4 linked regions of the Drosophila melanogaster genome follow. The protein of the gene in region 1 interacts with the protein of each later gene in a pairwise test. Each region holds a gene or a part of one and is shown on either strand. Other genes may lie near its edges. The genes, in order: pip, CG10996, CG1598 and por.

Region 1 (8,712 bases):
CCATCAATTTACACCTGGCAAACTTGAAACTTGAAGTCCGTCAGAAGACGAAAAGAAAAATTCATCATTGTCATCATCACTTGGCTGTTACGCATTGCTGGCCACGCCCCCTTGTCCCGCAGCCCATATTTGTAAATCAAGTGAAAGCTATACACATAATTTCCACTTGTCTGCTGCGTCTGGCTATATCTCTGCACTTGTTTTATTTTTAGCCGAAAAGTGTTGCACATTTTTCACATGATTGTGTTAATCAGCTTTGGCTTTGGCTTTCTTATAGAGCCTCCGTAATACATAAACTGTGCTAAAAATATTGCGAATTTTTTTTTTAGCATTTTGTGTTTGCCACTCTGCGCCCAGCATTCGACCGTTTTTACATAATGTAGAAAAACTCTTTCGTGGGAGAGGGCGTTGTTTTTGATGTCCACACAGCCATAACCGAAGTTTTTGTTTTTATGGCCAACTAATAACAGCCACATAGTTAGTGACTACCGGTGGGCGTTTGTTGCTCTCCGAAATTGGCCCAGTAAAATTGCCGGTCATCTCTTCTGAAAGGTGCTAAACGGCTGTGGTCATAAATTGCTATAATGTATACAAAACATGTGAATATTTTGTGGGCTTTCACTTGCCAAAAGTTGCGTGCGAAATTATCAGTGAAAAAGGGAGTCATATGTGGGCAGAGGGCCTACAGTTTCACCTGATCATGCGGGTTAGGTGTGAAGTTTTACGAAAATTGTGTAAAATACGGGCTTAAAAGCACTCAAAATGTGCTCTTGTTATTCTGTAAACTTTGAAAATATATGTAATTGGATGGGTAAACATACCATATTAAAGAGCCAAGTTTGTTTTTGGCACAGCTAATAATTTTGAAAATAATTTTTTATATATGATAATTGTATTCCATTTAATATAGGTTTTATATATTTTTGTTTCGCTTAATTCACTGTTAAAAATCCTAAGAGTGTAAACAAGATTGTGTAAGCGGAAAAAAGCTCGTAAGGCCCAACTCACTTGTTTCATTCTTTTTTAATAATATTTTCCTAAATATTTGTAAACCATAAAAAAGAAAGTCGTGTATTTAACCCTACAGCTATAAATTCGTTTGTTTCTTAGTGTGTGAAGAAAAACATTTTAATTGCCGTTTTAAAACATAAAATTTAGCACATATATATGTTTTTGTTAATAATTATTTTTTAATTTGCCACCCGCCGCAGACAGACAGCAATAATTAACTTTCCCGCGGGCCACCGGCAGCGTGTAAAATTCCCAATATGCATCATTTCCATTGCAGAAAGACAGGCAAAATAAAACAAAACGGCATGCAAAACTCGAAAGAAAATGAAGAAAAGAAAAACAAATCACATCACTGAATATAATTACCAAAGAGTAAGTGACTGCATGTCGTGGCGCCCAGAGAAAGAAAGAAACTGGCAAGAAAGAGAAGAATTGCTGAGAAAGGCGCACAGAAGAAAGACTTGAAGACTTGTAGACTCGGCAGCGAAGAGCCAGCTACAGTCTTTTCAAGCGCGGCTTGAGTCTTCGCCCTCTTTCTTTTGGGGCGTTCTAAATAATTTCTGTCACGCTTCGGCTTGCAGTGAAAATAAGAGTGAGTTTTGTTTTTTGTATTAGGTAAACCCTAATCCAAATGGAAAGCAAATCAGAAACGTAATTTATGCTAATTCGAAAGAAATTATTGCATAACTGCACTTCATTCCACTCATTGAGCGTATAATTGTCTTTTTTGACTTTTCAAATCGATTCGAATCGATTCCGACTGATTTTTCTCAACTGGGTGCAACGAACTCATTTTCTACGTATGCTCATTTATCGCGTGTCCGGATAATGAAGCTGCCAAACATCTGTCGCCGAGTTATTTAAGCAAAACCAATTAATTTCATTAATTAATATCAATTTGAGAGCGTACAAAAGAATTGTGCAAATAACGACGTAAGTGTACGCAGCAATATGGCTGGGAATTTATGTATTTATGTTTCTCTGCAGGACAATTCGTATCTGTTGTGATAAATCATATCCATATTCAAATATTTGCACTATTTTGTTGTGCAAATGGCAAGATTACTCGTTTCACTAAGTCGCCTGGCCATCGGAAATGGATAAAAAATAAATGTTTACCTGATTGATTGGCAGACTGACTGAGTGGCCAACTGATTGACTGAGAGTTTGCAGCTGCATGAAATTGTCAAAATGAGCGTAAAATTTATGCTCCAGCCAGCGGTAACCACAGAAAGTATCACACATATCTACATTTAAGCCATGTGTTTAATTAATGCCAGTAATTCATACATTTAATGTAATAATTTGTTCTGCAAATAAACGGGAAATGGGCCTCGCTTCGCGAAAATTAACGAGGGCTTTATAGGAAAAAAGGATATCTAGCAGGGACTCAATAAGTGGGAAAATGTTTAAATAAAATATAAAACATATGTATGTCGTTGATCCAATTTGCCATTAGCTTGAGCTAAGATCTCACAGTTATACGCAAATAGCTGTGAGCCATGACTTCACCACGTTTTGCCTTAATGAAAAGCAAATTCTCACACCCTTTTAAAAAGTCAACAAAAACGGTAAGAAATAGTTTCCCAAAAGCCAATTAGCCCATAACATGTGTAGTCGGTATATCATTAGTTTACATCTCGACGCACTCGTTGCAACAAATTTGGCCATACAAACGGAAAAAAGAGCGAATCTTTCACAATAGCGGACGCAGTGGCTCAGTTCTCTGGCCTAAACACCTTTTAATAGCCAAAATTGTTATGGGCGGCCGCAGAAACCGCCGGCCGTCGACCATCGACCATCGACTAATGAGCGGGCAGTCAAGTTGGGGGGCTCTTAACTTTTATCTGAGCTGACTTGGCCCGAACTGAGCCGAGTTGGGTTCTGTAAAAGGCCAGAACAAACACCGAAAAATGCAGGCCCACACAATGCAGTGGTAGGATGGTGGTAAGACACGGCTCTTTTGGCTACTTGAAATAGTTGAAGTGAGCTCGGCTTTTGTGGTTTTCCTCCTCTTCATCTGCCGCCCCGAGGTGCTACACCAAATGAATTATGAGAAGAATTGAAAATGAAAAACGCAATAAAAAATAGAAACAAGATTGTAGCTTTTAACTGGAGCAGAGATTGAAAAAACGACAGACGCAAGTGCACAGAGAAAAGTTTATGAAACATTTAAAATTAAATGTTGAAGTACAGTGTTTACAAAGCTTTAATACTTGCTTTTAATAAGTCTTCAAAATATAAGAAAACATTTTCAAAGTATAAATAATAAATACAAAAAAAATAAAAGGATAAATAATAGACCCCTTTTTGTATATATAAATTTTTGAAAATATTTTCAATTGATACAGTACTTGGAAGCTCATATCAGCATTCGTAACAATTTTTCATAGCTTAATTAAAAGTACTCAATCAATTTTTTAAAATAAAGTTCTTAAAGCTCGTCGATCTACATAAACCCATCTAAGTCGATGAGATTCATATTAAATTTAAGATCAAAAATATCTATTTCTTCTAGTGTAGCTGCAATTAATTTACTGGCTGGCACTACTTAAAGTCCGTCAAGAATGTTCGAACTGCTCTGGCCAGCAATTGGAGTTTTTATTTAATTTTATTTATCAAATACAACGACCCTGAAACACTATCACTTTTAGCCAGATGCGAAAAACGGAAAGTTAAGCGCTTTTTATGGAGAATCGAGAGCAGAGTATTTTTAATCTTTAGCGCTGCGGCAAACGCAATCTTCGATCTACCAACTCGATTTCGATTCTCTGGCCATTCAATGGCAATTATGACCGGTTTTCAATTTAACTGAAACTGGAACTCAATTGCATTTCCCCTTTGAAACGAACACCGTTCTCGAGTGAAAGAAATCTTTTCTCCGCCGCCTTTTTCTCGGCTGAAGACCACACTTACCGCTTGGGATACGGTATGCGCCGGTATTTGAAGGCATTTTCCACATCGCGCAGTTTCATTTTGTACGATCGCTCGGCGTTCAGAGACATCCAATGTCAATTACACAAAAAACACAATCGCTTGAGATCTTAGTTCTCGAAGACCTTTCTTGGCCGAAAGAATTTTCCGGTCGGCACTTGGGTTCACTTGAGTTCCGATTCACGATTCGAAGACTTAGAGATATAGACGTCCGTAGAGCTCGGCGATCGCGGCTTGACTGAATGTTCCTGGGGGCACTTGGCCGCCTTTTTGGCCAACTTTAAGACGTTGGCAGCGGCGGCTTACCACTGTTTGCTTTTACCATTTTCTTCGACTCTCTTTGGCTCTGTTTATTCGCTCTTTTGATCGCTCTTTGTTCGCTGGCTGACTGATTTCGTGGGGACGTGACTGTAGCCCATTTGTCTGTGGCAACATTTTTATTATTACCCCACATCTGACATTAATCTACTTAGACATATTTATTTAGGTCGTCCAAACAGCGAAGTGTCTTTATTCTCTGCGCAAGGAATCGAATTTCGGGCACTTGTTTCAATATCCTTTATTGGATCAGCTGGTTTACCGACCTTAATGGTAATTTGTTCGGTTGAATAGAACATATTGCGTGTGATCCAAACCACGTTGGCAAAAATAAGAACTTTAGTTTTTTCTATTTCTTCATAGAGGAAGGGAGAATTAGAATTAAAAACAGGTTTACCTTTGAACCCATCCCCCCCAATGGACAGTCGAAAAGTTGACCTTCCCGCTTTTGTAATTTCCATCGATTAGTTTTGGCCATTCGTACATATATAAGCGATTCTTCTCGATGTCTGTCTTCTCGCCTCGTTCGTTAGCCAAACTTCGGGATCTAAGCTTAATTTTTGCCAAACTCAAATCTATAGTTTCTACAAGAGTTGGATTCCGCGATCTCCCCACTTGCTGTCCACAAAGCTAAGCTCATTGACCCTTATTCAACAGTTGACTCTTATGGCACAGTGCCTCAAAGAAATCTTTTTTCCGATTAAATTAGAACATTTAAAAATTAAATTGAGGTACGAATTTTTAATTTACGAGAATTAATACTAGATTTCAATATATTTATACCTTTACTCTTTTATTTAAGTGTGTCTTATCATATATTACTTTAAATTATCTTTTTCAGGTACCTTAACTTTTAACTCTCACTGTAACTGACTTGTCCACTAACTGGCGTCAGACGGCTGTCGAATTTAAGCGTTTACCCATAACTATCTGCATAGGTCCACATTTTTAGGACCGACAAAAAACTGATTGTTTAGTCTTATTAAACTTTTTTTATTTCAGCAACAAGTTGAAAATTCGTGTAAATTTCTCGATAACAATTGCAAAAAAATGGAAAAACGCCAGCCTCAACATAAAAACAGCCAAAACATAAAAGTAAAATTAAAACGAAATGCGTTGGCGGCACATGTCTTGTGTTTATCTGGTAATAATTAAAGGTATTTCAGCATTTGGTACCAAGAAAGTGAGTAGCTAAAAACTTGTAAAGTTGCTGCCTATTGCATTGATGACTGTCCAAATCGACTGAGATAATTGAGCTATCTGAATGATCAGACTCTTTCTCCGATTTCGAAACTTAAAAGCCGACGAGTTGTTAGGCTGTCGGTTTTCGGGTTAAGTTTATCAGCTGTCCAATTGTGGTCGCTCACAATATGTTGGCTATATCTTCGGTCCGATGCCATGGTTTTTTGCTGCCAACTGTCCCTTTGTGGCTGTGCCGATTGCGCTGAGCTGGCCAACTCGATTGTAAACAACTGCAATTGGCCCTAGGTGCAAACACAAATAGCTGATTGTGTGAGTTTGTGGCAGGTGTGCGTATATATTATATTTGGCCAATACTCGGCAGTGTATTTTATGCAGCGAGGTTTTCCATGTTAATTGGTTGGCATGTTTAATACATCCGCTTAAATATATAAAAGAAATTTAAAATCGTATTCGGTAAATAAATTTATTATTTACACAAATTCTAAATTAATATATTATATGTATATGTTATATGTAAGTGCGTACGATAAATAAATAATTTCATCAATTTGCATTAATCTAGAGTGAATACTTTTAGTAGATATATGTATTATATGTATATTAATGACCACGGCATAAAAAGAACTGCAAAATTATTAACTTTAATAGCCAGATATTTAAATGTGTTAATAATAAATAAAAGCAACAAACATACTAGTGATTAGTTTGATAAGCTGTAATACAATAATAACAAAATACATTCAAGGTAGATCCCTCCATTAAATTTGATTATGCTTTGTTATTCAATTTTTTGAGTATCTACCTTGATATTCAAACTTACTGCAAAAACTGCTTTACCACGCCTCGTTAGCGATTTCCGGTCCTTTTGTCGCCCACGCCCATCAAAGCCATTTTGGCCAAGTCCACGGGCCAGAGTTGCCAGGTCCAGAAACAGAGCTGCCGGCCATAAACACGGAGTCAGAGAACTGGGCAATCCGAGGGAGGAGGCGAAATCTGTGGGATATAGAGCACACACCACACGAGCACCAGGCCGGTGGCTTATGTTTTATGCGGGCTCAGCGTGGGCGAGGCGGGGGACATGGAAAGCCCATAGCCACAACCCGATCCCACGGCCAATCCGAGTTCCGACCGGTGAGAACACACGCCTGGAGCTACCGGCTTGGCTTGGCTTTAACAGCATCTCGTTCGATGTTCCGAATTTTCGAGGATGTCCACCGATTGCTGCCCGGATGCGGGCAATCAAAATCTGTGGCCTACTTGACTGCCAGCTATTTGGACACGATTTGAGTTCGCCTTAGTTTGGCCAACGGTTTTCCCCCGAGCGTCAAACGGAACAGTTGGCATTCCACCCACTAAACACCCCATCTATTCCACCCGAAAATCAAACGCCCAACCACCCACTTTTGCAATTTTGGCTAATAGAGAAAGGTGCTCTGTGTTCAGTTTAATTTTTTCATCGGTTTTATTTTGCTTAAAGTTCCTTTTGGTTTTAATTGTCTTGGTTTTAAATACTCGTTTCATCTATTTGATTCAGTGCGTCATTAACTTAAGGTTTCCTTTTCATATACGTATAATATCTCTATATAAATATTTGGTTTAGTTTTATTTATCATACAAGTGAAACTTACTCTATCGAACGGTGAAAGGAAATGAAAATCGGGTGAATTCCGAAATGGAACTTAAGACATGATCTCCTTTCTCAAATTCCATCTCATTGCGTCACTTTTTTCAGTTTTATCAGTTTTTTTTTCGGTTTTTAATTAAATATGCGTAGACTGTACGCAGTTTGACTATTTACACAGCTGTCTGTATTATATTGTTATTTACCATCGCGCAGCGTTTTCTTCTCGTTTCGTCTACTTTATTTTTGAACATTTCAAATAAATTATATGCAATGTTTCGTGTGCGGTCATAATTCAATTTCTCCATCCGCCGGCCCCCCCTCTTTTATCTCGTATTTTATCTTTGAATTCTACTTTAAACACAGTTGGCACAGAAATTTCCATAGTTTGGTTTGGTTGAGAGAAGGAACTGAACCGAACTGATGATTGAGATGTGAGTTTGTGTGAGTGACAATGGTGGCCAACAAAGTAGTTACAGCATTTTTAGCCGGGCTTAAAGCTAACTATTCAAATGCCCTGCCGGCCGTGTTTTCGATTTTTAGTTTTGTCCTCAATTGGCGGCAGTAAAAATGCATTTTCGGCCTATGCGCCCTTTTTAATTAATTTAATTTCTTTTCGCTCTCGTATATGTTTCGGTATTATTTTATCTCTTATTCGAATGTGTGTAAAATATCATATATGTATGTGTATGCTATGCTGTGTGTCTGGAAATAATATAAACTGCTCGTTTTTTATTAAATTGTACAAAGTGCGTTTTGGTAATTTTTCTTTCTTTCTTTTTTAGCTATAAATATTTAGGTTATTTGCTATCAAAAAATGCCAACCGAAAATATTTGATTTAATTTATGTATATATTTTCATTTACTTTTTATGCTGGCTAAATCATATATTTTTTATACACACGCTTTTCGGCAAAGTTTCATTGCAGTTGAAATTTTAATGGGTTTTTATGGATGTGGACTCTGCCGGCGTGGCAGAGGTTCTTAAATTTTTAAAATTCCCACTGCAGCCAGTATTTGCTTTGCTTTCAGTATTCAGTTTCATAATTTTTGCCCTAGTTCAGTGTCTATAAAATAAAGTACTTATGTCCTTTTCCGCTTCTTCTTGGTGTTGTTTGCTTAATCCTACTGCAACTGCCAAAAGTTTGATTGTTTATATGGGTTATGAGCCGTGTCTTAAATGGTAGTTTTGCATACAGTTTATTATTATTCTTCGCTCGTAGTTTTTACAAAGTCTATTGACTTTAGGAATATTACTCACTGCAGCTACTTAAGTGGAATCGGTTTGTGTTCAAATTACGAACATAAATGCTAACGCAAAACAAGTTATTGCTCGACAGAAATATTTACATTGATTGTTTTGTTGTTTTGTTGTCTAATCCTTTGGCAGTTCTCTCGATTAAGTGCATATCTCTGGTTTGGAGCTCTACTTAATTCATTAATAACAATTGCATTTAATTAACTAGCTGTATCGACTTGTATATAATAAACCACTAGGTGATGTCATTTGCTTGTTTGTGCTGTACGATAATAACAGAAAAGTGCTGCCTCTTAGTTGACTATTTAGCTACTAGCTAGTACCTATACAATATACGCCCCCGGTTCTGAGTACTCGTCATGTAAAT
Region 2 (7,391 bases), on another chromosome or scaffold:
TTTCAAAGCCATTTCATTGAACTGTCAAAAATAACGTGTACGAAAATGATGTGTTAATTTAAAATCAAATCAGAGATTAATCAGCTGAGAGCATATTGAATGTTAATTTGTTTTTGGAAGAGATAACGATGCGAGACAAAAATAGAATATTTCGTAATGAATCATCGCTTAGTTAGTTGATAATATAAAAATATACATTAAAATGTGAAGCAAATAAATATGTTTTTAAAAAAATGCAATCTTTGATCTTACTGGCCAGCATAATTTCACACAGATTCATGAATATAATGAGATATGCAGTTTATAGTGATTCAATTCGTTGGCCACTAAACTGGCGACGGTGAGTGTGCCAAGAAACAAACGCTCTGTCAGGAAAAAAGGCAGGAATCCCATTTCGAGGGGCTGGGCGCAACATTAGCGGCTCGTTGGCGAAAATGCTGCCAAGCCAAACCCCCTCATTAGATCCCCAACATGCCGAGTTCCTACGTGTGTTTACCTTTCTCAAAGCGCTGGCTCGCTTTTCTCCATGCCACCCAAACCACCCATGACCCACCCATGAGCCACCCACGACCCACCCACTCCCTCGTTGTCCTTCCGCCCAGTCGACCTGGTCGACACCCTTGACAAGTATAACCAAAATTGTTTCACCAAAATACGCAACTTTAATAGCGGCCAAATTATGGCGTAAAATGTTTGTATCTTAATTGCTATATATTTTGATGAATTTCAAGCTGATATGTTTTATATTTATACATATAAAAAAACAGTAAATTTAAAAAATCAATCTTAGTATTATTTTCTCGAAGTGCATGTCCCTTTGTTAATTTGGTTTTTTTTTTTTTTTTTTTTTTGGGTCCTATTTTTTTTTAATTGCTTGAAAGAGAGGGAGTGCGTCACGCGAATGCTGAAACTATATAATATGGCAGAAAAGGAAGTGGAAACCGCAATCAGAGTGTGCGGTCTGGTTTTATAAAGTTATTCATAAACGTCGACGAGGGGAAAAGAGGCGCTGAATAGATGGTAGGTAGATGGTAAAGAGTAAAATGCAAAATGGACGGAAGCGGGTGCAGTGCAATTAAACCCCAGAGGGCAAACTGCAGTTTCCGTGGAGCGGCGAGTGTGTGCGCCATTTACCTTTGTCGCGTACCCGAAATGGTTTAAAATCGGAATAATATATACCAAATTGCAGGACAACCATAAGCTGCGAGGTGGAAATTCAATTGCGAAATGCGGAAAAGCGGTCCCATAACGCCACTAAACACCAATGGTATCGCCACAGGGGTCCAGCTAAATTTAGATCGATATTCCCCGTTTCGTCCCGTCCCGCTGGCCTTCGCTTTCGCTTTTTATAGACTTTAAGAAAATGTATTCGCAGGCAATGTTCGCTAAATTTAGTATTACCAAAAGCAAACAGTCAACAATCTGGGGTACACAAAACATCAGGTTACATTTCCAATCGATCCAAAACGTGCCAGATGCCCCATTAGCCGCATATTCATGTTCGAGGGTAGTTCCATGAGCTTTACAAACGATTTTCCTGCAGGTTGATTGCGTTATTTCTTTGGCATTTCCGCTAATTCATTAGCTTAACTGAAGAGCTGAAAACTGTGATACGTTTTCGAAATGCCTTAATTGTTGTTGCAGTTCTTGGAATTCATTTATTTGTTTGCAGCCAGCAGACATAAATGTAATGTGCTGGAAAATCAGTGTAGTTTCATTTATCCTTTGTAAGCACTTGTTACGCCACGAGTTTCCAGGAAATGGGAAACAAACAAACTACTGTTCTATTAACTAGCGCAACATCCTGCCCATTTCCCTAGTAAGCTTTGTAAGTTCTTTATTGTGTGTTATTTTGTATAACGACTTAATAATACAGAAATGCCTTTAACAATCATTTATAGAATATATGTTTATTCTATTTGATATAATAAATAACTCAAATATACGTATAATGTGAATATATGTTTAATTTTATACAGCATAGCCAACTTTTTCATTATACTAGACTAGCCTTGAAACTCCCTTTCCATATCAAGCATTACCGAACAAAAATGGCAAACATCTTTAATACGCACCGATTTTTCGAAACGTCCTTCTCTGCGCTTCTCAAAGGGTATACATAAGAAGACATCAAACGCACGCATTAATTGAAACATATCTCTTCGAGAAATCCTTAATAACATGAAGTGTAGTTTAGAGAACAGAAATCCATAGAAAAGAACAATTTTTTTTTTTGCAAGTGTATATAGAGAAAACAGTGGGGTATAATGACCATTCATACCTGCAGTTGTTGTAATGGGCTTTCGAGTTGCCTGCGAGGAAGCCTCGGCATTGTTCTTTCCGTCCGTGCCGCTGGTTCCATATCATGCCTCATTGGCGCCACCCCACTGAAAATATAAGGATGGTGTGCAAATAAATGCAAAATCATGGCTCGTCATTCACATCGACACCGCATCGTCGTCACAGTCACAGAGTCAGTCATCCTCGTCCATTGTCGCTTAAAGTTCAGTTCAGTGAGGCCAATGGCAATGGTAATGCCAATGTCAAAGTTACTGGGCCTTTGGATTGCGGCTTTGGTTGCTTCAATAAAATCTGTCACCGAAATGTGTTCCATTTAAAAGGAGAGACTCGAGAGACACATCTTTGCAAAGGTTAGCATTTTAAATTGGCTTTCTAGCAGAAGAAGGCCAAAGAAACATTCTTGAAATAAAATAGGGTTTCTGTATGAAAATAGATTTAGAATGTAATATCCAGTCGTTTTTGTTTTATTTGTGAAGATACAATGGCGGTCATTTATTATTTACTTTTTAGTCGTTCTCCTTAAAGAATCCAAGTTTCATTTAATTTCATTATTAAATATTTTGACCTATTTAATAATGTACAGCATTTTAAAATTCCTTTGTGCGATAATATATACAAATGGCATTTTAATAGAGAAGCAAATTTTATTTATTCAATGATTACTCGACTTAGAAAATTTTTATTACGTTGAGGACACAAAGTTGCTACCATAGAACGCACAGTTTAATGGAAGCGCCCTTCTCTGCGATTCTCAAACGGCCTACATAAGTAGCGGCCATTCAAGGGCCCTTCTCTGCGCTTTTCAAACGGCCTTTGGTTTCCGCAGTGGTTCTTCGCCCAGGGCTTCCAGTTCCTCCGGATCGGCACAGCATTTCCACGATTCCTGAACGCCAAAATGGTAGATGGTTTCATGGAAATAATGCTCGCCCGGATTGATGAAGATGCGTGGAAAATCCGGCTGATTTACGGCATCCGGATAGTTAAGTAGCTGAAGACTAAAGCCACAATGTTGCCAATAGCGGGTGCACTTTTTACCCAATATTGGTGGCTCACCAAGCGGTTCCTGGGGAAAACAATTGCCGGTGGTGAATTTAACACACGGCTGATTGCTGAATATTTCCATAAATCTGCCCGAATCCGGATGCAAAAATCTGCCCACATAACGCGTTCTAATTGCATCAAACTCCTTGTCGAGAGCAAAGCAAACATCGTAACCCTTTACCGGTTTCTTTTCAAACTGACGCACTCGGTCGCCCATGAATACTGGCAATCGGATATCGTATACGGAATCATTAACGTTCTTAAATCGACCCGTGGGAAGTCCGTCGCCATTTGATGTTTCCATCGTTTCTATTGCCTCAATATTGATTTGATGGTCAAAAATGCCCTTGATTCCGGTAGACTGGCCAGCCAGATTAAAGATGATATGATTGGATATATTTACCGGCGTCGTTTGATTAGTGGTAGCTTCAATTTGTATAAAAAACCGATTGTCGTCATTTATGGTGAAGTGAAGTAATACTTTCAAGGTCCCAGGATAACCTTCGTGTCCATCCGGGGATATATGACGCAAGGTGACGCCATCCGGTCGTTTCATTTCCAGATCCCAAATGACCTGATCGAAGCCCACAAAGCCACCATTAGTTTGGTGTTTCTGGCCGAGATTTTTGGATACAACGACACGTCGCTCGTCCATGATGAACTCGCCGTTGCCCACCACATCCGAGACTCTGCCAATCGTGCAACCAAAATGATAATTTCTATATTTCGTATACCCGGCAACATCATCGAATCCGAGGACCACATCGGACAACTGGTGATAGGCATCTGGCACTTGAATGCTCTGGATTGTTGCGCCCAGCTGGATGATGGCCACGGACAGGCGATTGGTGTTGGTCATCGTGTAGCGACGAATCACTTGGGCCTGTTTGGTAAACGGATTGGTCGCAATACCAAAGATGTCCTCCACAACCTTAACCATAATTAGGGATAAACCTTTTTTGAATTTTGAATTTACTTTAAATTTTCCTTCTGTGTGAATTTCTTTTTGAAAGTTTACTCAAAGTTGTTGAACAAAAAAGTGGGTAGATACATATAAAAAATATATTTTATAAAATAAAAATAAAATAAAAAATTCATCTGCCGATAAATCCGACTAGAGAGAGACTAGTGTGTGTTTCAAATGCACTTTAATCACGGAAACCAGCAGATTGCTAACAGTTCTCAGCCATGTCAATTTCAATTATTTCCTTACACAAGCTGGCATTTCAGTCTTAGATTGAACTGAATTGCAATTAATCTGTCATAAAGTGTAAAAGTTACCAACGTTTTCTAACTTGGAAGTGCACAGCGATGGGAACTTAATTTTAAGAGGCAATGCTGACAATTTAACTTCATTTCAAACGATTTGATGATTTAATTTGATGTGTGATGTGTATAAAGCTAACATTTTTATATCGAATTCTTTCCTTTACACTTTCAAGTAGATTCCAATAAAAGAACTATGATTTTGCGACCTTAGTCATCATCAGTTCAAGCGAGTTGTCACACTTGTGATTCCACAAATGCAACTTGAAGTTAACTGCAATACACACACTCTTAGTAAATTGACTTAATGGCTTATCATAAATCCAGTTGTTAATTGCACCCATCAAGGCTGTTTACTACGGATTCACCACTCAACTTCAGTTTCGCGATGCGATGGCGGTAATATCGGGGCAATTTGTTGATTCGAGGGCATGCCACCTGTTCGTACATCGCACTCTTGCCGAGGCATAGATAAATTTCTTGCATCGCGACTATCTTATCGTGCGTTGCCTGTTGGCAGTACCCAGAACGCAGGTCATCACATCCGCGATTCATTCGGTAAAAGATCGATAGAGGTGTGTGATTTACTATAGGACCACGGTGTACAACTATCACACAGGGAACGTAATCGAAAAATTGGTACGAAATGTGCTAGCTACGGATGATTATTCAGCCAATAACAGTGACAGGAATTATCATCATTTATAATGGCAATAACTGAATAATTGAATATGCTGCGATATATGACGGAGACAGAACAAAATAATGATTGCCATCAATTACTTTGCCCTTGCCCCATTACGGCTTCTTCGACAGCTGCGTGGTTTTTCACACTACACTCGCACAAATCGTGTGTAGTCTCGGAAAAGCAATGCAAATTGGAATGAAAATAGGAATAAATGTGTTTGGGCTTCAAACATAAACATATCTCTTCGATGAACCCTTTAACACCTTGATAACATGAAGTGTAGTTTAGAGAACAGAAATCCTTAGAAAAGAACCATTTTTTTTTGCAAGTGTACATAGAGAAAACAGTGGGGTGCATTCATACCTGCAGTTGTTGTAATGGGTTTTCGAGTTGCCTGCGAGGAAGCCTCCGCATTGTTCTTTCTGTCCGTGCCGCTGGTTCCATATCATGCCTCATTGGCGCCACCCCACAGAAAATATAAGGATGGTGTGCAAATAAATGCAAAATCATCGCTCGTCATTCACATCGACACCGCATCGTCGTCACAGTCACAGAGTCAGTCATCCTCGTCCATTGTCGCTTAAAGTTCAGTTCAGTGAGGCCAATGGCAATGGTAATGCCAATGTCAAAGTTACTGGGCCTTTAGATTGCAGCTTTGGTTGCTTCACCTTTGATATTTGGCCTGGTCTGCCACCGGATTCGCTGGCGAAAGTTAAATGTTTGCCGATAAGAACAGCCAGTTGGATCAATAGCCTTGAAATTACGCAGCTCGAACTTTAAGCTTTCGACAGGTAGGTAGGTGATAAATATTGCAGCAATGAAATCTGTCACCGAAATCCGTTCCATTTAAAAGGAGAGACTCGAGAGACACAGCTCCATATCTTTGCAAAGGTCAGCATTTTAAATTGGCTTTCTAGCTGAAGAAGGCCAAAGTTATAATTAAGATCGAAAGGTTCTCGACTTGGTACTTAATATTTGATGGCAGAACACAAGGGTTAAAACTGAAGAAACATTCTGGAAATTAAATAAAATAGGGTTTCTATGCGGAAGTTAATTTAGAATGTAATATCCAGTCGTTTTTGTTTTAGTTGTCAAGATTCAATGACGGTAATTTTTATTATTTACCATTTAGTCGTTCTCCTTAAAGCATCCAAGTTTCGTTTAATTTCATTGTTAAATATTTGGACATTTTTAAGTAGTTTTTAAATTTATTATCTTTTCGATGTTTACCTTATCCATAAAACGGACAAAAGCATTTCTTATTGCCAAAACAATTTCGCATTTACAACACCGTTAAAGCCTATAATATACAGCATTTTAAAATTCCTTTTGAAATTTTCCATGTCGATATTATAGTTTGTTTATACATAGGTATAGATATTCTTTTATATACAGTCAATATTACTTTTGCTGGCTATGTAAATAATTATAACAATAATCACTGTGTAATAATAAGAATCACTGGTTGATTTGTTAAAATAATATAGCTAATAACATTTTAATGGATAAGCTCATTTTATTTAATTAATGATAACTCGATGACTGTTGAACAACACAAATAATAATTCGAAATAATGAAAGTCTACTACTAATGTTTATATAAACACAAATTGATTAGAAAACCATGGGTAGATAGCAAATAATAATTTGTATTATTATATGGTTAGCATTATTGAAATTTGCATTTCAAATCGTTCGAATGATCAAGGTCGTTAGTATATAGAACTTTAGATATTCAGTTCTAGTCGAGGCACTCAGCATGTTTATTATGTGCTTGTTTATGTTTATATTGACTGAGATCGTAAACGCATTTAGTCTATAAATAAGCGACTGGCGAAATCTTTGGCATTGTAATATCAAATGCTGATTCGGCACAAATGAACTTTGCAATCGCAATTGATTTAACGTATTGATTATGCCGCCGATAAAGACGGTGAATCATTTGCCACAGCTGGCACTCTCGTGACCGATAAGTCGATAAGAACACTATGCATAACTTAGCGCCATGACTTAGCTAGGTTATTTTGTTAGTTAGTCTTGTTAATACCCAAGTTTCCGGATATGCAAATATGTGAGCATACATTCCGTTCTACGA
Region 3 (7,756 bases), on another chromosome or scaffold:
ACTGGTCGCGAGATCAAATTAAAAAGCAGATCCGCCAGACGCGAACTTTTCTTAACTCCCAGATGGGCCAGCTGACCAAGGAGAGCGCTTCGCAGATGAGCATTCCCATTAAGATGAGCGTGCGCCAAGTGCGCAAGTTTGCCGGGCAGTTCAGGCAAATGGATGATAACAATACGGGGTACGTGTCGATTGCAGACTGCTGCAAGGCAATGAAAACGATGGGCGTAAAGGAGGTGCCCGTCGACCTGATGCACGATGTCCTGCGGGACATTGATGTCCATGCCCAGGGCAAGGTGAACCTGTATGAGTTCCTTCTGCTCATGTCGGCTATTGTGCAGGGCAACACCGAGTACCTGCGGTACGCACGGCTGTATCTGGACCACAAAAGGCAGATGCAAGGCAGCAACTTTCCCACCGTAATGCAAATGGAGCGTGCCGGGGGCGGTCTTTGAAAGTATCATTCGTTGTAACCCTCTCCAGTTTGGAATACTGCATCCGTTAAGCGTTGTCTACGCATTACACGTCGAAGCAGATCCCTTCGGGGATCGCTGCCTCAACTTTAATTTATTTTACGCACTTTCTGTTCACACAAACTAAGGAAGAAACTTACAAACGGATGGGTAAAGGGTTGGACGGGCTATCCTATTCCTTGGGCTCGCCCTTGGGGTTGTAGGGCTTCATAAGGTTCTCGGAGAAAGAACGGATGCTCTCTGGACCGCGCACCTCTTTCTCGAGGAGCGGCAACTTGGTTACGTGGAAGTCTTCATACAGGTCGGCAATCTGGTCCAGGTACTTCTCCTGAATCTTGAAGCGGGAGGCGCACATGCTGCACGAGTCGTGCGAGTTCTGCAGAAACAGCAGTTGGTTTACAATGATGTTGTGGACGTCGATGCCGCACTTGGTTAGCTCTTGCACAAGTCGTTCCGTCTCGTACAGCGAGAAGAACTCTGCTATGCACACGCAGACGAATGTAGTTTGATCCTGCCGAAGGACGAATGCGGATTAGGCGTTGTACGAGCTAAATACATGTTTCTACGTACTGGGTTCTTGAACTGCTCGTTGACCTGGGTGATAACGCGCAGCATGTCGTCCAGCTTCTGGGAGAGTGTGTCAGCGTTCACATCAGCCATGCCCAGCATGGAGACGAACTGTGACAGCAGGGGCGCCACCTTCATCTTGAGCCGCAGCAGCTTGCCCAGCCCCTTCTCCACCACCTGGGGAAATGCAATCAGACGCAGCGTGTGTCCCGTGGGCGCCGTGTCGAAGACGACTACCGAGAAGTTCATGCCCTTGACCAGCTTCATAACCTCTGCATAGCTCATCGCCTCGTCGATGCCGGGCAGGGCGTTGATCATCTCCTGCATGACGCCCTTGCTCACGCGCAGCGCCTCATTTTCGCCATCGAAGTACTCCTCGGGCAGCTCGTTGAGACCGGCATTTGGATCGATTTCCATGGCGAACAGGTTGTCAAAGCCATTTACCTGGTTGCGGAAAAGGAATTGCGATGTGCTTTAGTTTAGCTTATACAATGGTAAATGACTTCATTTCCGGATTCTTCCACCAACCTTTGTCGGCACCTTGGTGAACTTCTGATCGAATGCATCCGATATGTTGTGCGCCGGATCTGTGGATATGATTAGCACGGATTCGCGCACTTTCGACAGCTGAACGGCTAGGCTAGAACTATGTTTAACACGAAGATTAATTAGATCAACCGAGAAAGTTGGCTTGTTGTTGTTGTTTTACCTGCAAGTCGTCTTGCCCACGCCGCCTTTTCCGCCCACGAAGATCCACTTGAGGGAGTCCTGCTCGACGAGATTCTGCAGGCTGGGCTCCAGGGGCTCCAAATTGTCGGCCATAATGCCCACTAAAGCGAGACACGTATGAAATTAGTTGAAATTAATAATTGCTTATAAGCAATGAATATGACTTCTGGCGTGCAGAGTGACCGTTTTTAGTATGCATACGTATAAGTTGATAGGCACTAAAATCAGCTGATCACGAAGCACTGCCAGGGATGGATGCTCATTTGGCGCCAAAGGAAAATTATTTGAAAATAAAATTTTGCAAATCTCAATAAACTTGACAAAAGTGAGAACAAAACTGCCAGCGGTGTGAAACTAACATAAGTTTCAACTAATTGTTGTTGTTATAACAATAGCAAAAAAATATTCTCAAATCTGTTGCTGCGTACATGCTCAAAGCTCCGCCGCTTTTATCGTGCCTATTAAATGCACAAAGCGCGCTCGCAGCCCAAGAAAATCACAATAAGTGCCGCGGATGCTTGACCCGTCCCCGTGTTCCCCGCGCCCGCTCTACCCATCACTGTTAATTGTGCAAATCGCGAGCTTATCAAAACCCAAGTGTCGGCGAGAAAATGCGAGCAGCAAGGGAGCACAAACCCAAGTGGCTATGGACTACTAAAAATAGTTGTGAAAACACCTTCGCCGTTGGGCGTCCGCGTTAAATAGCTTCGATTTTTGGTATCTTCGTGTCATTATGGGCTTCACCCCAAAACCACATCGATTTCCGTCCATTGCCGCCTAGTTTTGTCGTTTACTGAACTCGGCGTATATAGAGTTATTTCAACTTATCACAGAATACGGAAGCTGCGCTGTAAAATAATACTTATTCCAAGAGCTAGACCATTTTTGAGTGACTCTGTGGATGTTATTGTGAGTGGATTGCAAACATTGGATAAAACTTATTGAAAATAACATTTGATTTGCACTTAAATCAGATATATTTAGACGATCATTTTAACGGGGATTATTAAATTAATAAACGACAAAGGTATGTACTCAAATAAAAGAAATTGTTTGTTTTCATAAAACTGCTTCCATGCATGTATACTGATAGTGGATAAATACAGTTTTAATATAGTTTTAAAAATGTATAGTATTTAAACAAAAATTAGATGGAAGGGATATATATATATATATATATATTTAATGGGCCATTGGTTTGGACGATATTACATCAAAAAAATATACAAGATGAATGTAATATTTGAACAAAACCCTTTTTATCTTTTTTTTTGCAATTATAAATATACATATATGTATATCTAATAGTTGAGACAGTTGACTATATTTTTTTCTGTTGATTTATTTAAAAAAACTGATAACTGTGAACCTTAAAGTTAAACTTTAACACTTAATTTCTGTTCTGCGCTGTGCCCACTTGTGTGGGCCTGAATACGTAAGAAAGTTTATCATACTCCTCGATATTGAATGCGAAAAATGTTATCAAAGTTGATGAGAAAGTTTTCCTATCGCCTGTTTAAGCAGCTAAATTAAAAACAGATCAATTAACGTTAAAATCACACACGCTTGACAATTTGTTGATATTAACTTATCGCCAAGCTGAAAATATATTGTACAACCAAAAATATTTTTTTATTTTGATACAGAACGGCTTATTGAAAACCCATTTATGGCTGTTAAAAGTTGAACTGAAAAAATTGAGAACAAATCGCTTGGTGAAAAAACAAGAGTGTTTTTGCCTCATATGCGTGTAAATCCGTTTTATGCGACTGAAACGATTCAATCATTCTGGCAGTGCTTTTTAAAATAAAGCGATAAAGTTGGCTGGATGATTTATTTATTTGCCCAGCCCTGGGCTTTCGAGATCCGCTTTTTGTCTGTGCGTGCGTGCGTTTGTTGGCCCATGAAATATGAGCGCATTAAATTTTATTATATTGTTTGGGCCATTCTCGGCTTTGGTCCAAAGCACACACTCGCACTCTCGCACACACAGCCACAGGCGCAAGGACAGCAAACAAGCGGAAAGTTCAAAGTCAAACAATAACACTTTCCATAAACAAAAAACCCAGCTCCCACACACACACACACATATGAACGGCTAATTTGCTTGAAATCAGCGATGGGAACGTTTCAGTTACCGTTACCTGAGCTCCCCCACCTCCTGGCACCTATTCCCGCAACTTCCCATACTAAACTTTCAACGGGAAACTTTGACCTGTGATGGTGAAAGGGCAGGGGAAAGACATATCGCTTCGTTTATGTGTAAAAGTTTAGGAATTCAAAATTTTTAATGTGTATGTATGTAGTTTATGCGTTAATTGGTTTTGAATCTGGAAACTGATCCTTTGTCCAAGCCATGGTTTGCTGATTTTCTTAGTTAGATTTAATTTTTAATTTTTAATATTTTATCCAAACATGTAATATTACGTTTGTTTTTGATCATTTTTGTTACGGAAATTTTGTTAAAAATGCGTTTATACATAGGTGTTACTAAATCAAATATTAAGTCAAAAGACGTCGTTTTTCAATATACAAATTCTTTGAAAAGGTATGTACATATATTCCTATATAAGCGACATTAGCTATTGTCATAAAAAGCTAAATTCATTTAATGGTACTATGTTTAAAGAGGATATTTTTTTATGTTTGATGCAAATTAATTTGCATTTGCAAATTTAATTTCTGTAAAATACATTATCTTAAAAACATATCTAACCATAAAAACACTTCGCATAAACGTAGAATGTATGTTTTGGATCCGTAGAAAAACCAACATTGAAATGGGCACTCGCGCGCCGCTTTTAATAAATGTTTCTGTCTGCATTTTGTTAGGGGCTTTTTCGCCGCATTTCACCTGGCCGAGCTTAGCTTTATATTCATTGTCCTTCGAGTCCCTTGAGTCCTCCGAGTCCTTCGAGGGCTCACTTTATCAAAGCTTAGCACCTGACAATTTGCCGCGCGACATGCGGCTATCTTTCCCCTGTTCTGGAAAACTGTAATGAAAAAGTACTTTGTCTCCGCACTTCTCCATACAACTTGCGTCGCCGCCGGTGTTTTCCACTTTCCGCAGCTCGCTGTCTTTGAGCAACTAATTAAATTAAATCCGATTAGTTTGGCGTGGCAAGTGGAAAGTTTTGGAGTCCTTATGGCATTCCTCGCTGCTGCACTCTCAATATGCCGGAGCTCCAAAATGAGGATGCGAGGGAAGGACTTACTGGAGCCTTAAAATTCTTCACGGCACCTAACAAAAGGAGCGTTATGGAAACAAAGTTTTAATTAATAGGCCTTTGCCACAAAGCCTTCGATATCAAATGCACTTTTCGGCAGGTCTGGAACTTAAAAAGAACGAGACAGAGAGCGCTACGGTCGATTTCCTCGACTATCAGATACCCATTAACGTTATTTATCGACTTTTAAGACTCATTTTATTGAAAAGCTAATGCTTTTCATTTTTGCATACTTCAGCGCTATCTTTATTGAATGTATATCTCTTATTATTTAGCGCTTAACTAACTGATTAACGGGTAACTCACAGTCGCTACAAAAACATTATTTCATTTGTGGTGCAAACTACCCCCTTCAACGAAATATTCTTTCTACAATTATATATACATATGTATTATTGTGTATCATTGAACTAATTTAAACAAAAACATTCGTTTTTTTTTTGCTTAGAATAGGTTTGTCAAAGAGTTGTGTATAATATTTTTAACAATCCACAAAAAGGTACAAAATTGTAGGGCTCCCAGTTGCTTTAAGACCGAATATCTTGCTCTCTTACGCTGGTCCGTATTGTGATTAACCATTTGGGGTTTTCCAAGGGTCAACGTGTTTGCTTAGACTCAAACCTAATGGACAACCTGTGATGAAAGCTTTCATTAAACAACAGCATAGTGGGCACTCCCGGTTCAAGTGGCCTTTGGGGGGATTTGCCGTGGGAGAAGGCGCTTATTAACGCCACGCCAAACTGCCACTCATCCGAAGTGGGTTGTGGGTGGTGGGCGTTCGTCGGGTGGCATGCAACAGGCTGTCTTGCCAACGGAGTTTTCCGAGCTCCGCTGACAGCGCGTCACTCAGTTTTCCCTCGCTGAAATCCCGCTGACTCACAGCTCGCATTTCTGCATAAATTTCCACCGTACGCGACACTCCGTTGCGGAATTTCGATTAGCGACCGCTCTGGGCCGTCGCTGTTGGCCGTGACTTTGAATTGGGCCCTAACCGTCGAACAGTGCACTTCGAGGACATCCAGTTGCAGCAGACTGTCAAGGATTTGGCGGTGAGTAGGCCACGTCTTGATAAATTGAGCAAGGGTCGACAGGCGCTGAATATGATTGATCTTCTGCTGGGGATAATTAGCGCACTCGTTGATAAGTTCAAAAGTCACACAAAATTCAATTAAGGAATACGTTTTCCGGTGGTCTAAATGATATATCACCATTAGATAACTGTTTAACTGTTTCTAGGACTTTTGTAGCTTGTGGCGCCACAAGGATGCGCACACACACGATTGCAGGCGTCGCAAGTCAGTGCATTTATCTGTCTCTAAGGGCAAACATTTCAATTGCACCTGTTAACCGTTGGCTAAATTTATGACTTCCTCACTTGTTGTTGCGTTATCCTTTGTCTTTAGTTTTCGCTCAGTTGGGAGTGCGATACTATAAAGAGAGGGCGAGTGAAAGAGAGGTCTAGGCGCATCAAGGGAAATAAACACACACAAGTGCAAACGCAAGTACACCACACAGTAGCAGGAGCCAACAACATGGAATCTTAATTCGCACACAAAGCGCATTATCCGAGCAGAGGTGAACCCGCCAACCCTTCTCATCACCGCCTTGCTCACTCACCTTGGCGGATGGTGGGTGTGAGCGGAGAGTCCAAAGGAGGAGAGGGGTGCCAGCTGTCAGCCGGCAAATGGCTTTCACTTTCCTTCCACAGCCATCCAAGCGTGGTGAGTTCGGCGCTCGCTTTCTATCTCTTTACCCCGCTCTCTCTTTTGCGTTAAGAGACATTGTTTAGCAAATTAATCTTCAGTAAATAATATAACAAATGAGTTTTTTTTAATTTATCTGTTTTTATTTCACTTTCAATCTGAGGAAAGTGAAATGCACTCGTCTTCGAATATTGATCATACGCAGTGTTGAACGCGATAAAAAGACCTTTAAACCTAAAATATCGAAATTATTTTGATGACCTGGTAATAGTCTCTAATAGTGCAATGCATTAGGTATAAGGATACCTAAACTTAAATTGTTATTTAAATGCCTTTTTGCGAGGTGCACCTAGTCGTGTACGCAATTTTTTATTTATTTTTATTAAAACATTTAAATAACTGTACAAAACAATGTACAAAAGTAAACATTTTGTAGATGTTACCTCGAGTATCAAACATTACCGGCTTTATTAGTGCCTTTCTATGAAGGACTTAACCAGAACATTTGGCTTCAACTTTCAACTGTAAGTGAAAGCATTAAGCTTTTGAATAATCCACTTATCCACTGTTGCAAAAACTTCGGATGCCTCAGCTTGAAGCGCTCTCTTTCTACCGGCAAACTCACCACTGCCAAAGAGAAGGTCCTGTGGCCAAAGAGCGAGAGAGAGGCTGTTTGAGTCTGTGAAAATTGTAATTGAAATTCCAGCGTCGCCGATTCGGCGCCTGCAGTGCGTAGGCGGTTGTCGTTGACTGACGTCGTGGCCAACAGCACGTGCTAACCGAGGCGGCGCGTGCAGCAAAAAGTAGTAGCAGAAGCTGTAGTGGCCCACAACAACAGCACAACAACGGCATCAGCAGCCGAGCAGCCAGTTGAAAAGCTACACACGGAATATACAACACACAGCTCTAGTATCACAACAACTAACGCTTTGGGCTAGGCAGAGAGAAGGGAGTGGGCGAGCGGGGAGAGAGTTTAACTTGAGTGAAATTTAAAGCAGTTGAAGAAGAGGAAGCAGCAGGACAATACACCAATGCAGGCTAACTGTAAAAGTGTGTGAAA
Region 4 (8,439 bases), on another chromosome or scaffold:
TCGTTGTTGTTGCTGTAATCGCTGTTGTTGTTGTTGTTGCCGTTGTTACACACACAACCCATTATGCCAAATATTAAATAGTAATGAAGAAGTACAAGCAAACGTCTCACCTAACAGTACTTTAACCGTTAATCAAAAGCTTTTCTCCACTCTCTTTGACTAACCAATCTACCTATCTCGCTCGCTCGCTCGCCGTTCTCGCTCGCACACACCACTCAAGTTCATAAACCAACCAACAAAAAAAAACCAATCCGAATTTTCAAAAGCTTCCAATTGAAAACTGAAAAATGGAAAATATGTTTTCTTATAATTTTTTTATTGTTGTTTTTTTTTCATTGTTTTCTTTTCGAACGCCTTCCTCCACCCAACCCACAAAAATAAAAAAACGATATATAAAATTCGATAATGTTCTGAACAACAACTGCAACAACAACAACAACAAACGACAATCAAAACCCCAAACCGAACTCGAATCGGAATCGAACTCGAATCAAATCGAATCGAACCCCATCCCAGGCGCATCGCTTCCCATGTCCGACGGCGTGCTCAATTCCCAGCTGGCGGGGACCGGAGCGGGGGGCAATGCGGCGAACAGCTCCCTGATGCAATTGGATCCCACGTACTACCTGTCCAATCGGATGTCCTACAACACCAGTAATAGCCTCGCTCCAAAACTAGCCTTTAGTTGCGACTTGGCAGGACCACTCGTAAATCGAACTGGAATCGAGGGTCTATCAAATTGAAGTTATCGAGTTATCGAGCTGAATGTAGGCGATGAATCAGCGTCCATGGAACTGCTTCATCGCCTAACTGCAGCATATGGACTCAAATGATTGTAATTGATAACTTTGATAATGCTCCATTCCATGCTGGCATTATTTTCGTTTTTATTCAAATTGTTTAGTTGAACATGGATGGTGTGTTCAATCATTTTTGCATGCAATTTGTGTTGACATCGAAGTGAAACCAAATCCAAACCATCAATGACTATGAAATCCAGTTCAGTTCGAGTTACAGAGAGTTCCGCTTTGGGAGATGTGCACACACACATCGCTTACAGCCAGCTGAATGACTGATTATCCAATCCTTGAAAACTTTTTCCTTTTGCAGACAACAGCGGGATAGCGGAGGATCAGACCCGTAAGCGCGAGATCCGGCTGCAGAAGAACAGGGAGGCGGCGCGTGAGTGCCGGCGCAAGAAGAAGGAGTACATCAAGTGCCTGGAGAATCGAGTGGCGGTGCTAGAGAACCAAAACAAAGCGCTCATCGAGGAGCTGAAGTCGCTCAAGGAGCTCTACTGTCAGACCAAGAACGATTGAATGTGGGCGGGGCTCTGGCGCCGCCTGCGCCTCCGCCTCCAGTTACGGCTACGGTTACGGCTACGGCAACGGTTACGGTTACGGTTACGGCGATCACTGCGCTTCGCTCCGCTCTGTTCTATTCCGTTCTGTTCTGGACAACAATGGTGGATCGATCCTTGCCGCTGGCCGGTCGCATATCATGATTTCTATACGCATGGGATGCTGCATGTGGTAGCGTGTACATTAACTGTGGGGATCGTGTTGTTGTTGTTGTTGGGATGCAGACGGGCCGAACCGGACCAAACCTAATCGAACCGAACCGGATGGAAGGGACAGAGGGTCTATCTGCCGGACACACAATGTAATTATGTTTGTAATTTAAAGATGTAATATTATGTTTACGATTTAGTTTATGCCCTAGTTTACTCGCTAACTTAACGATACTGCAGTTTACCTACGAACATGTGTTTCCGTAACCTAAGACCTTTCACCACACCCCCCCGCATGCACACCTTACCTTACCTTACCTTACCTATTGTAATTAAATTTTTTGTTTTACCTAATTCGTAATCGATGCAGCAGAACGTGCGTGTCTAGCGAAAGTGTTTTTTCTTAGCGAATTGTTGTTGTGTGCCCATATGTCAGGATATAGTCAACCAGCAGGTTGCCCAATCCACCAGAGTCCTTTCTAGATGGGTTTTCTGGGCCTACCAAATTAAAATTGTTCAAAAGTCGCTAGTTTCACTTGATTTACATATGCGTGTGCGTGTAGTATGTATATATGCGTGTGTGCCGGCCAATGTGTATCTGTAGAATTAGTCTTAAATCGAATGGATGAATTGATTGTCTGGGATTTGGGCATGGAGTTAAATATTCAAACACTTTGTTACGTAATTTTAAACGAACCCTCTCCGCTCCCAAAGAACCTGGTTAAGCAGACAATTCTGCACGCTACCGTGAATCCAGTTCGGAATCGAAAGGGAACGATCTTGGCCGGAACACACGCGTGGCTACAGATTTATATATCTATATCTATATATCTATTTATATATATATATATATATATATATAGATGGCAAACACTCTCGTTATCTCTTGTGATCGACTCAGTTGTTGTTATGAAATGGTAGAAAAGAGACGAAGGGACGGACAAATACGATAAATTAATGATGAATTCGGGTACAGAGATCGAACTTTTTTATCTAGCATAGCGCAACGGAAACAATGTCGAAATGAAGCACCGGAAACGGAAATGAAACCATAAGAAAACCCTGTATTGTATATCGCTCTATTTTTGATGTCCGAATCCAAATTTCCGAGAAAAAAAAATGGAAAGCAGAGTAAACAAAAAGAAATCTAAAAAAAACCGAAACACAAGCAAAAACAAAAACGAAGGGCGAAGTTTGGAGGAGATCAGCTTTTTTTGGCCAAGTCAGAGAAGGGGGAACGCTGAAAAAAGGGCAAATGAAACCAACAAAAGTTGCATTCAACAAAGTAAATAAAAATATTTTTATTGTCATTGCATATTTCTTAAGCTAGTACTTTTAATAACTAAATCGTAAGCGCGGAAAAACAAAGTAAATGAAAACACAAACGATAGGCCACAGCCCAATACAAAAAAGGATTCATAATAAATCGCGTGCCGAAACTAAAAGGATGGCAAATACAAACGCAGGCGAAAAATCTGTAGAAATTACAATATTGTTATAAATATTTGTCTCAATGAGAAAACAAACAAACGAAAACAACCAACCAACAAACAAACAAAAGCAAAACAAAACCAACAACAAAGAAAAATATACATTAAAAAATCAATAAAAAATATTTGAACAAATTCGTATGCATTTTCATCAGGATGGATGGGGTGGCTTTGGGGCAGTTGGAAATTCGTTTGTTCCAGTTTCCCCCAGGAGTGCTATCCATTCAGCTGGAAGTTGAGAGGAACCCAAATTGAAGCGCGTCACAGCGTCCGTTTCACAGAATGCTTTAATATTAAGTACTCACACAGCACACAGACTACAAGATACGAATAGATAGATACAAGATACAAAAAGTACAAGCGCATATACGCTTGGGATTACAAATATAAATACGTGTAGATCAGTCATAGTGAGTATTGGCGACGGCAAGATCCTGCGGAGTCTACGAGATGAACAGGTAAAGGACGAAGGTGCCCAAACCGATGTAGTGGCTGAGATAGCCAGCCTGCTGCCAGTGCCACAGGAAGGAGTCGCCATCCTCGCCGACTTCCAGGTCATCGCCCAGCAGCACGACGCCCAGATAGGCCAGGTGGAAGATGGCCAGCGCCGTGAATGCCAGATTAGTGAGCCTCGCCAGCCAGTAGGACAGGGAGTTCAATCGCCGTTTGCTCGGGCAGTGGCTATACCGACATCGTTCCTTGCCCGGACACAGATTGGCAGTGATGCAGGCATTCAGGAGGCTGGCGAGCTGCCGCCTGAGCAGCGATTCACCCTCGGCTAGGAACGCCAGCGAGATGAGCACCAGATAGATGCGCAGATCCATGCCGTGCAGCAGGCTGGACACCAGATAGGTGGAGAGCACGACCACCAGGATGCGTCCCCTCGAGGTGGACGCGGTGGGCTTGCAGGGCGCGTAGATGTACCGTTTGAGCCACTCGTGCATGGGAATGTTCCAGCTCCGGACCAATGAGCTGATCGAGCGCGGCCACTCGATGCGCCAGGGCTGCGAGATCAACGGACCCAGCATGTCCGACTCCTTGGTGGCACCGTCCAGTCGCTGATCGGAGGCTACCAGCAGCGCCTGCGCCATCATGCCCACAAAGTAGTGGCTGCTGCGCACACTCAGTGCGTCCCAGTACATGACCAGGAAGTGCGAGCTATCCCCGAAGAAGTCACTCAGCGCCGGAGCCACGCAATTGGACACGGTCACGGCCAGCACGCAGATCACCACGTTGGGCAAGAGGCGACGCAGGCTGACCAGCCAGCTATTCCGTGGCACCAGACAGTCCATGTAGCAGCCGAAGCTCACCCAGGGCCCCAAGGCGCAGGTGGCCGGACTGTAGATGTAGCCCAGGTAGGCAAACGGACCCGGAATCCTCGCCTGCAGCTGCCCACTGGCGGTCAGGTCGAAGCCCAGCGAGATAAGCTTCATATTGACCACCATCTGGATGCCGCGCAGCTGTGGCCAGTCACTGCGCCGCCGCCAAATGAGCAGTTCGTACAGGAACTGGCTGCCCACGGTTAGAACGGCCAGAACTTGAGCTCCTCTTCGTCCCAGTCGCAATAGCTGGAGCAGCAGGTAGCCCACGGCGGCCAGCAGGAGAAGTAGGAGCAGTCGGTAGCCCACCGTGATCTGCAGTATAATCAAGCCGCAGGCGAAGTGGAACAAATGCAGCGGTGCCAGGCTGGTGAGGCGTCTGCGCTGCGAGTAGAGGAGGCACAGCAGGCGGCACAGGAGGCAGAGGAGCAGCATGGGCGCCACATACTGCATGACCTGCAGCACAGATGGCTGCACGCAGCTCTGCAGGCTCTCGAGTAGGCGCCCGGCCAGCTCCAGGACACCGTGTCCATCTACCACCAGCTCCTCCTCCACATCGTCCCCGCCGAAATAATAGTCCTCCTCGCCGTTTGGCTGCCCAAATCTGTGGTCCAAGCTGCCGGCTGTCACCACGTCGTCATCCTCCTCCTCCTCGTCCAGATCAATGTAGTCCGATTCCTCCTCGAAGTACTGGTAGTCCATCGCCGGCCGCCCAAAGCCAATACAATCCGGGGGAATCAAGGAAAAACCCGGAAATCCGAGGACTTGGAATTATTTGCAAAGAATATACCGCGCAATATACCGAAAATACCACATCGGTGGCTTCGAACTCATAGCTAGTTTATAGCTAAGCTGAAAATACCAGTAGCTTAAACAGTTTTAAAAATCAAAATAAAAAAAAATGTATTAAACTTGTAAAACTGTTTGTTTTGTACACCAAGTGATGAAAAGGTTTTGTATCAGCTTATAGCTCGTTGTTTTTATCGGCTATTGAGTTGGCAGATTTCAGCGGATTTCCATTGCGTCTCAGCTTATTTAGTGATCAAGATACGGTCACACCGTATCTAGCAGTAAATAAACTATTTTAAGCAGTTTATTCAAATTTTTCGCTGCCAAATCCAGGAAACTCTATTGAAATGACTCGCCACGCACGTAACTGCACGGCCGGAGCCGTGTACACCTACAACGAGAAGAAGCGTGACGCGGCGGAGTCCGGCTACGGCACGAATGCCCAGCGCCTGGGCAAGGATTCGGTGAAATCCTTCGACTGCTGCTCCTTGACGCTGCAACCATGTCGCAGGCCAGTGATCACCAAGGATGGCTATCTATTCGACAAGGAGGCCATCCTGCAGTACATCGTGACCAAGAAGAACGAGTACAGCCGCCGACTGAAGGAGTACGAGCGTCTGCGGCGCGCGGAGGAGGATAAACTGAGCCAGGAGGCCAACAGCAAGCAGCAGGCGCGCATGGAGCGCTTTGTTAATGCCGAGAAGCCAGCGATGACACCCGCCCACTCCTCGGCCGCTGCCAGCGAGAAGCCGTCGACCTCTTCCGCCGCTGCTGCCGCTTCATCTGAATCCTCGTCCGCATCCTCGATATCCAACATGACCAACGGGCACGAGAAGAAGCTGCCCAGCTTCTGGCTGCCCTCCGAGTGCCCCAATGCCGGGTTAGCCAAGGCCCAGAAGCCCGACGCCACCATCTACTGCCCGGTGTCGCAGAAACCGCTGCGAGTCAAGGATCTGATTGATGTGAAGTTCACGCTGCTCAAGGACGGCGACACGAAGCGCTCGCTGATTGCCAAGGAGGCGCGCTACATGTGCCCCATTACCCACGACGTGCTCAGCAACGCGGTGCCCTGCGCTGTGCTGCGTCCCACGTGAGTGCTCGCTGGGATTTCGCGTTGAAAACCCTTTTAATAGTAACCTCTTCACTACAGTGGCGATGTGGTGACCATGGAGTGCGTGGAACGGCTGATCAGAAAGGACATGATCCATCCGCTCACGGATCGCAAGCTCAAGGAGAAGGACATCATTCCCCTGCAGCGAGTAAGTACATCGCGAACTGTGCAACTATTCTGCATTGCTAAGGTTTCTCGACTATTTCACAGGGCGGCACTGGCTACGCAACGACGAACGACCACCTCCAGGCCAAGGAAAAACGGCCCATGCTCCAGGCCTAAGACGAATTTATATAGCCGCCAGCTACTTGGGAGCACTTCAATAGAAATGTAATCGTTTTAGCACTAGCTAGTTTAAACAATCAATTATTTCTCCAGATTTTAAAACAATTGTGTATCATAACTTATACAAAACTTGGGTATTTTATCTGTTCCAATTCTACCTTTTCGTTTATTGCAAGACGAAGTGCATACATACTTATTGTTAAATAGGAAAAAACAAAATAAATACACTGATACTCGTACCACACAACCAATTAACCAGTAGTCCGAATTTCTATGGAAACAGCCCCGTCAAATGAAACCACTGCCAATCTTGGGGTTAAGGTATAATATTATATTCTTTATGTATAATTGTAACGTGTAATGTAAATTGAAGAAGCTGCAGCTGGCGGAATGCGGGCAGGTGGCCGAGTACGTCGTCTAGATACGTCGCTCCTGCTGGTGGCTGGTCGTCCACGTCCAGTTCCACGTCCACTAGGCCGCCTGCACCGACTGCTTCTGCGAGGAGCTGATCTTGTCGCCCAGACTCAAGGCCATGCCCTGTGTGAAAGGCGCGAAATACGGAATACGGATTAGAAAGTTGCGCATGACCATGTGCAGATGTGCGGCTGGTTTGTGCTCGACTCTCACCTGACTCTTGGCGCGAATGCGTATGTGTCCCGTCACCTTCGAATCGGGATCATCGACGGGCTTCTCGATACTCAGATTGGCCAAGGCATTCTCTCCGAAAATGGACCTGCAAAGTGAGCGGATGAGTTGTGATGAGAATATGATGGCTACTCCATAGTGGACAGCTGGACACTCACTTGGCGTACATGTTGGCGGCCATGAAGCCGCACTGGCCGGACAGCGCCTTCTCCGGCGTGAGGCACTTCATGTTGGTGCTCTTCAGCAGGTGCTTGAGATATTCGTGCAGGTCGGTGAAGCTGGTGTTGACGGTGACCTTGTTCTCCCACTCGAAGTCCTGCCACATTTGACGGAACTCGGTGTCCGTGCAGCTGGCCGGAATTATGTAGTCCATGATGTCGATGTGAATGGTATTGAGGACCACCACATTCGTGTTCAGGGCGGTTTCGTAAACTGTTGGTTAAGCGCCATAAGTGAGCGTGAGTGCACTTTAACAGCGAATTCCGCAATTAGCAACTCACCAATATTGCCGAAGATGATGCCGTTCTCTGTGGAGGAGACCTTTACGTTGGCCTTGATATTGCAGAAGTCGTGCGGAGCCAGGACCACTGGATGCGGGCGCTCCACCAGCTTAAGATCGCCCAATGTGGCCAACTCCAGTGTGCAGTTCTGTAGCGTGTCGTCTGAAAGTGATTTCATGGATTGAAAGCGATGCCCTTTCGCCTAAAGATGCACTACTCACTGGTCTGGTTGACGATCAGCACGTCCAGGACAATATCGTACTGATTGACATTGACGTAGGCCTCCGCATAGACGGGATCCGAGAAGCCAGTCAGTTGGGTGACCTTGTTGAGCTTGCTGTTCGGCGAGGCCACGTCGCTCAGCTGGGCGTTCTTGCTGCCGGCCAACGCCTGGTTCAGACTGGATTCGAACACATTCTCGCCCAGCTGATTGTCACGTCCGTTCGAGAGCTGTGCAAAGAGCACCGGATCGTCCGGCTGCACCTTGGCGGTGGCCTTCTGCTTCTCCTTCAACATGCGCTGGTCCTCGTCGTGCTGCGCATCCAGCATCTTGCCCAGAGCCTCGCGGCAGTACAGTGTGAAGACGGAGATAGCCTCCGGCGTGCGTTCGCTCAGCGTGCGCAGGCAGACGAAGATGCGATCGGTGTCATCGTTGGTTATGGGCTTGCTAGGGAAACCGGACTTGCCCAGGTGCAGTATCGAGCTCATGATCAGCATTACCTGCGTGGTCAGACGATTCTGGGCACGCGCCTCCGTCTCCAGCTCTGCGTAGCGCAGTGCCAGCTTGGTC

What was found.
Region 2: the proteins of pip (region 1) and CG10996 interact in a two-hybrid assay, tested with the Drosophila melanogaster proteins (one large-scale study listed by BioGRID).
Region 3: the proteins of pip (region 1) and CG1598 interact in a two-hybrid assay, tested with the Drosophila melanogaster proteins (one large-scale study listed by BioGRID).
Region 4: the proteins of pip (region 1) and por interact in a two-hybrid assay, tested with the Drosophila melanogaster proteins (one large-scale study listed by BioGRID).

Annotation. Positions count from the first base shown.
Region 1 is NT_037436.4:19,333,415-19,342,126, forward strand, and holds the start of pip (pipe), read right to left. Parts: upstream 4,196-8,712; 5' UTR 4,017-4,195; coding exon 3,928-4,016; intron 1-3,927. UniProt on the Drosophila melanogaster protein: Sulfotransferase involved in dorsoventral axis patterning in early embryos.
Region 2 is NC_004354.4:13,793,338-13,800,728, forward strand, and holds CG10996 (uncharacterized protein), read right to left. Parts: upstream 4,302-7,391; 5' UTR 4,283-4,301; coding exon 3,104-4,282; 3' UTR 3,052-3,103; downstream 1-3,051.
Region 3 is NT_033778.4:7,537,732-7,545,487, forward strand, and holds CG1598 (uncharacterized protein), read right to left. Parts: upstream 1,966-7,756; 5' UTR 1,860-1,965; coding exon 1,747-1,859; intron 1,684-1,746; coding exon 1,566-1,683; intron 1,482-1,565; coding exon 1,041-1,481; intron 982-1,040; coding exon 643-981; 3' UTR 501-642; downstream 1-500. Other genes in the region: Gpo2 (glycerophosphate oxidase 2), read left to right, coding at 1-452. UniProt on the Drosophila melanogaster protein: ATPase required for the post-translational delivery of tail-anchored (TA) proteins to the endoplasmic reticulum. Recognizes and selectively binds the transmembrane domain of TA proteins in the cytosol.
Region 4 is NC_004354.4:18,374,733-18,383,171, forward strand, and holds por (porcupine), read right to left. Parts: upstream 5,123-8,439; 5' UTR 5,022-5,122; coding exon 3,444-5,021; 3' UTR 3,395-3,443; exon of another isoform or gene 3,318-3,394; 3' UTR 2,789-3,317; downstream 1-2,788. Other genes in the region: CrebB (Cyclic-AMP response element binding protein B), read left to right, coding at 517-654, 1,111-1,319; CG6179 (uncharacterized protein), read left to right, coding at 5,456-6,198, 6,259-6,367, 6,430-6,501; betaCOP (coat protein (coatomer) beta), read right to left, coding at 6,976-7,041, 7,132-7,237, 7,308-7,581, 7,650-7,811, 7,871-8,439. UniProt on the Drosophila melanogaster protein: Protein-serine O-palmitoleoyltransferase that acts as a key regulator of the Wnt signaling pathway by mediating the attachment of palmitoleate, a 16-carbon monounsaturated fatty acid (C16:1(9Z)), to Wnt proteins.